2 linked regions of the Coturnix japonica genome follow. The protein of the gene in region 1 purifies or fractionates together with the protein of each later gene. This does not show direct contact. Links are inferred from orthologs where the notes say so. Each region holds a gene or a part of one and is shown on either strand. Other genes may lie near its edges.

Region 1 (3,815 bases):
ATGGGCCCACGAGATGCCACCCCAGCTCTGAACAAACCGAGTGGCCTCACAAGGCTGTGGGGCAGCCAGGGCAGGTCTGTGTGCTCAGTGCCCTGCATCCCATATGCTGTGCCCTGAAACCTTTCTGTCGTGGAGCCCTGGAGGGCACTGGGGGGTTCCAGCTCCTCTGCCCCCACCCCACGCCCCATAGCGCTGCCCAGCTGCACCCTGGTGTCAGTACCTCGTACTCCGGCTGATTCACCACCCCCTGTGAAATCAGGAGCTCGGCGTATTTCTGCAGCACCGGCTTCTGCTTCCGGATCTGTTTGTACATCAGGGGCTGCGTGAACATCGGCTCGTCCATCTCGTTGTGTCCATTGCGCCTGTAACACACCTACAGGGAGGGAGGGAGACTCAGAGCAGCCCTGCAGCCTTTGTGCCTCGCACAGCCGGGGTCTGTGTGCTATGGAAGGTCCAGGAGGGAGCAGCAACAAGGGCAGGTGTACAGACAGAGGCTGCACTTTCCCTCCAGTGTCATCACACTCTCAGGACCTGGCACAAACATCCTCTGATACCGTGTCCCAAAGGCTGGAGGAGCCGCAAAGCCCGGTGTCACCTCCTTACCAAATCCACCACCACGTCCTTATGGAAGGTGCTTCTCCACTCTGCTGCCACGTTGCACACATACACCACGGCCTCAGGGTCGTCCGCGTTGACGTGGAAGATGGGAGCGTTGACCACGCGGGCGACGTCGGTGGGGTACGGGGAGGAGCGCGCCATGCGTGGGTCAGTGGTGAAACCGATCTGGAGGGGAGGACGGGATGTGGAACAACCTGCTGCCTGCAGATCCCGGCTGGCACTGAAGCCAGGCGCCGGGCCAGGCACGCTCCATCAGCTTGCATGGCACCTGGGGAATGCAGGAGGCTTCCAGGCCTTGGGCCTGCACAGAGCCGGGCTTCCCCAGCTCCATCCCAGCACTGGAGCCGCAGCATCCCCCCTGGTTTTGGGCAGCCCCTCACCTGGTTGTTGACCACGACGTGCACTGTGCCGTGAGTGGTGTAGGAGGGCAGGTCGCTCAGGTGGAACGTCTCGTACACAATTCCCTGCCCTGCAAACGCTGCATCTCCGTGCAGGAGGATGGACATCACCTGTGGGGCCAAGGACATCACTCAGTGGTGCTGCAGCCGCATCTCAGCCCCATGGGAGAGTGCAATGATTTCCCACAGCGCTTGAGTGGCAGCTGCTGTGATCCCTGTGGGATGCTCGGGGTCATTGTCCCACCCCAACACCCGTCTGCTCCAAAGCTCCAGGGACTGGGTTGGGATCAGTGCACCTTTCCTGCATGTTTTCACCCCAAAAGAAGGAGCGCGTTGTGGCAGAGCTCGTTGTACCATCAGCTGCTCCACTGCTTTAGTTGGGGGCTGCCTGAGGACGCCTGCCAGGCGAGGACAGAGCTGCTCTACTTATTGCCAGCCCTCGCGGTGTGGGAGGAAGGGAAGCACTTTTGATCCCACCCTTCCACTTCTGAAGTGCCACAGGCGATGAATGAGGCTGTGACATTGGGCACAACCCCCCCAGCACGTGGGTGCAGCCATCCCGGTGCCCCCAGCACTCCCACCCATACACAGTGAGACCCTGCAGCGTGGAGCTGCGTCAGCCCTGATGCTGGGGATGGGAGCCCTGCTCAGGGTCAAGCAATGGCAGGAGCTACCAGCAGAGACCAGGGGGAGACGCGGGAGCAGCCGTGGTGACGGCAGTTTGTGTGGCAGCCCCTCGACGTCACTGCTCACCTTCTTCCCCTCCGTGTCCCCGCAGTAGAACTGCTCTGCTTTGGTCTTGCCTTGCACCACCGGGTCGGCCGCCTCCAGGTGGGACGGGTTGGCCACCAGGGACAGGGTGATGTTCCTGTCGGTGACGCGGTTGATCCGCCGGTGGTACATCCCCAGGTGGTATTTGACGTCACCGGAGCCCTGGGGGAGGGAGGGGGGTCACGGCACTGCAGTGCAGCGCTGCAGGCAGTGCTGAGATGCAGCTCACAGCAGCACGGCCTGCGGGTTGCTGAGGGATGGAGGAGGGCTCACCTCGTCAGCAGCCTCCAGCTTGGAGTCGAACTGGCAGAAGATCTGCTCCAGCTCCTTCCTGATCACGTTGGCGAGGACATTCAGGCGCCCTCTGTGAAAGCAGTGCTGGCAGTGAGCAGCAGGCAGCACAGCCCAGTGCCTCCCCCAGCACAGAGACAGGGGGCAGCCCTACAGCCCAGAGCTATGGAGGGGATGGGGTCCCAACACATACCTGTGGGGCATCCCCATGATCACATAATCCACTCCCTTCTCACTCGACTTATCAATGATGGTCTTTAGGGCTGGGATCAGCACTTCACAGCCCTCCAGACCGAAACGCTTCTCCGAAGACCATTTCCTATGGAGGAACTCCTCAAACCTGGAAGGGGGAGCAGAGATGGGAGCTCACAGGGGGCACATCCCCTGCTCACCCCACTGCCCCTCTGTCTGCCCAGCTCCCCACCCCATGTGCACACTGACTCCTTGCTGTGCTGCTGTTGAACAGTGCCTTATTTTTAGCTGTTTTCTCCAGCATCATCTTTGCAGGCTCAGTGCCAGCGCTATGGCAGCACATGAGTGAGCCCTGTGTCGTAACCGCGTGGATGACGCCAAGGAGAGGTGATGTGGGTGGTGACCGTCCAGCAGGGGCAGCCATCCAGCACAAAATAAATGGGGTTAAATGGGGGCCACGGCCACGCTGCTCATCACGTACCTGGTGGAGCGAACCAGGCGCGCCAGCAGCGTCCTTTTTTCCTCATTGGTAAACTTCATAACCCCTGGTGTCTCAAACTTCTGCCGGATCCACTGACACTGCTCCAGGTCGTTGATGAACATGAACTCCACGCCGATGTGCTGACAATACGCCATCTGCACAGAGCACGGCACAGACCATCAGGCACCGCTGGGAGCCGCAAACACCCCCAGACCCCTCCAAGCTCTGTGTGATGCCAGGGCATCCTCTGGTCCCCTCATTCAGCACCCAGCAGGGCGAGCAGAGCTGCACCTCCCAGGAGCAGACCCCATGTTAAGGCAGGGAAGGAGGACCCCACTGCTGATCTCAGACACTGATCACCCTGCTGAGGTCAGCCAGGAATAGGGAGTGAGGCAGGAAGGAAACAAGGACCTGCAGCAAAGCCACAGCGCTGCTCAAACAGCCCTTGTGCTGCAGGAGCTGCTCCTGCACACACACAGCCCTCACCTCCAGGCGGCGGATGATCTCCCGGAGCGGAAGAGCCGACTCATTTCCTCCGATGAAGGTGGTTGTGGGCAGATGGAAAACCTTGTCCAGGTCGGACTCGTCCAGCCCATAAAATCCTGCAGGGTTGCGGTGGGGGGGAAGAGCGGAAGCAGAGAGAGAAGGAAGGGATGGAGCCGGGGGGGAACGGCCGCAGGTGGGGAAGGGAGGAGAGGGGAGGGGAGGGGGATAAAAGCAGCACAAAACCCAAAATGAGCACGGAGGAGGTTTGAGAGCATCAACCAAGCAGCAATTAACATCGAGCACGAGACAACCAGGTCACAACGAAAGGCCATGGAGCAAAAGGTGTGTGCAAATCAGAGGGCACCCGGTGCTGCTACAGGGAACGCTCCAGCTCGGGGTGAAGCATCGCCGACCGCGCGCCCCGCTCGCCTATAGCCAAAGGGCCCAGAATAACCTATAGAGAGTCCTGAGCTGCAGAGGGTTGGGGCTGCCGCGGTGCGTACCTCCCACTGTTAACACTCTCAGCCGCTCCTTGAACACTGCGAGGTCTGGGGTGAGCGGGGGGTGCAGAGGGAGAA
Region 2 (2,482 bases), on another chromosome or scaffold:
TTGCTGCTGGTTTTCAGTTGAACAAATAAATAAGTGAAGCTCTGACCATCAACATTTATTCCTGGGGAGGGTGAACATCCAAACCCTTGTCCTTTGCCATTTGTGCTCTGAGTGGCTTTCTGAGACTATACCTTTCTTCTAGGCACGGAAGAATGAACTGGCTATTGAAGACATGGATGGTGGCACTTTCACAATCAGCAACGGAGGGGTTTTTGGGTCACTCTTTGGGACACCTATCATCAACCCTCCACAGTCTGCTATCTTAGGCATGCATGCCATCTTTGACAGGCCTGTGGCTGTGGGAGGCAAGGTAGGTGGAGCTGCACAGGAGGTTTCAATAAGTAGAGAGGAGGGCTCTGTGGGATAAGGATCGTGCCTCATATGCTGTTTCTAGGGGACGTGATGTCGCCTTCTGAAAGGCTTGACTATGATTGGAAAACCAAGTCTTCCCCAGATTGAGAGGAGGGTGTCCTGCAGGCAGTAGGGCTGAACACACCAGTACCCGTCTTGTTCTCTCCCTTCAGATCGAGGTCCGGCCCATGATGTACGTGGCACTGACCTACGATCACCGGCTGATCGACGGCAGAGAGGCAGTGACTTTCCTACGCAAGATCAAGGCAGCGGTGGAGGATCCCCGCGTGCTGCTGCTTGACCTGTAGAGCAGCCACACCCTCACACGACCCTCCCAGGGCATAGACGCAGCACCAGCAGGGGCGCAACGCAGGGCATTCAGGAACTGGCTGGGGCCATTCCAGTCTCCTTCCCACCCCTGAGATCAGAGATGTCCCAGAGGGAACTGGGAGGATAGCTCCTACCTCCTTTCCTGTTCTGTTTAATGGATGGTTCAGTCTCTCACTAGGATTGCCACCACTGAACGGCACTGCCTTTCTGGAGCCATCTGTGTGGCATCCTCTCCTTCACGGCACCAAACTCTCACCTCTAGCTTGTCCAATACCACTGGAAAATGCTTGCTGCTGCTGTGCTAGGGTACCCTTCCCTGCCACTCCAAGGTGGGTTCAGCTTTATTTCCTAGCACTGAGGTTCTGGGAGGGGAGGGAGAGGAAAGGCTACTGTTCTGTCCCCGTTTTGCTTGAAAATATATCACTTTCACCTGTCTTGCAAGGGCAGCCTGGGTTCCCTCAGGCCAATTGCAGCAGAGATTTTGATCAGAGCAGAGCTGAGGTAGGTGTTGTGCCCTTGGCAGTGCCCTAATTACACTCCCTCCACAGACCGGAATGCAGTGGTTGCATCTCCCCTGCTTTCTGTCGGAGATCATCTGTCTCTCTCTAGCCTGGCCACTGAGCCACGAATGTTCGTGGCCAGGTGGGCAGAGCCCATGATCTCTGTGGAGGTAGCACTGTTCCTGGGGATGGGAGGCCACCCTTTCACCATGACATGCCCAACACTAGGCTAAGAAACAGCCCCCAGCAGCTGTCCTTGAATCACAGTGTACTGATGGATGGGTCTGCGTGTGAGGGCTTGGCCTGCTACCAGCAGAGAGCTGGGGGGGGTTGGGGGGGCTGGTCTGCAAGTGTAATGTATATGCCAGCCCAAGGCTGCTGGTTTTGGGGGGAGGGGGGCAGTCCTTAATCTGATAGCGCACACATGTACTGGGGAGTGAGGGGGTTGCTAGTGCCTGCAGAGTCTATTACTCTTACCCTCTACACAGAACGTGTAACTAAAATATTTAACACAGCGGATTTTAAATGAAATAAAACTGGTCAACAACTGCAAGGTGGGCTGTGTTTGGGGGGGTGGGTCCTGAGTGAGGCCTTGGGCAGCAGCAGCCTCTGTAGCACAGCATGAGAGTGAGAGAAAGGGGACTGGAGGCGGTGATAGTAAATGGAAGTTTCTCTGTCTCTGAACTCTCCTGTTCTCAAATCCTCTGGCACAGAACTGTCTCTTACTGGAAAATATGAGGTTCTGAGGCTGGAAAGTATCTTTTTTCCAGATTTCTTTGCCTATCAACAGAAAAAAAATCCCAGTCTTTTCTAAGTGGTGTGATGGCCAAGAGCGAGAACTGGGACAAGCTCTCACAGTGTGGTTCTGGAGCCAGGTTGGTTTTTCCCTGATACAACAGGGGTTGTGACAGTGAGAAAAAGGATATTAAGGGCTGCAGAGAGAGAAAGGAGGCAAGAAGTGTAAACCGAAAGCTGTCTCATTAGGGGCACTGAGAGCATTTCTGCAAGGAGCTGTCCCTGTGGGAACATTAAGAAACCAATTCCTGGATTGCAGTAGGGTTTTCCCGTCTCTCACACAAGCTTCAGAGAATGGCTTGTCTTTACCAGCTATGAGTAAAGGCAGCCTCTTCTGAGAGAAAACTATTGCACGCACAGCTGCAGTGCTTCCTGGCAGCTAAGGAGGAATGTGTGGCATTAGCTTTCCTTTGTGTCTGACTGAGATAGAAGGTTAGAAGAGGAGGGAAGGGGGGAAAAACCCAAACCTTATGCACCTTCAGAATACAGCAGGGCCTGTACCTGCG

Evidence for each region.
Region 2: the proteins of OGDH (region 1) and DLST fractionate together in Homo sapiens (co-fractionation; 3 studies listed by BioGRID). This does not show direct contact. The link is inferred for Coturnix japonica from reciprocal best matches to the Homo sapiens genes OGDH and DLST.

What each region holds. Positions count from the first base shown.
Region 1 is NC_029537.1:122,921-126,735, forward strand, and holds part of OGDH (2-oxoglutarate dehydrogenase, mitochondrial), read right to left. Parts: intron 3,786-3,815; coding exon 3,741-3,785; intron 3,354-3,740; coding exon 3,238-3,353; intron 2,907-3,237; coding exon 2,752-2,906; intron 2,419-2,751; coding exon 2,272-2,418; intron 2,152-2,271; coding exon 2,061-2,151; intron 1,950-2,060; coding exon 1,770-1,949; intron 1,128-1,769; coding exon 999-1,127; intron 784-998; coding exon 604-783; intron 374-603; coding exon 221-373; intron 1-220. UniProt on the Homo sapiens protein: 2-oxoglutarate dehydrogenase (E1o) component of the 2-oxoglutarate dehydrogenase complex (OGDHC). Participates in the first step, rate limiting for the overall conversion of 2-oxoglutarate to succinyl-CoA and CO(2) catalyzed by the whole OGDHC.
Region 2 is NC_029520.1:34,565,036-34,567,517, forward strand, and holds the end of DLST (dihydrolipoyllysine-residue succinyltransferase component of 2-oxoglutarate dehydrogenase complex, mitochondrial), read left to right. Parts: intron 1-142; coding exon 143-310; intron 311-524; coding exon 525-659; 3' UTR 660-1,734; downstream 1,735-2,482. UniProt on the Homo sapiens protein: Dihydrolipoamide succinyltransferase (E2) component of the 2-oxoglutarate dehydrogenase complex. The 2-oxoglutarate dehydrogenase complex catalyzes the overall conversion of 2-oxoglutarate to succinyl-CoA and CO(2).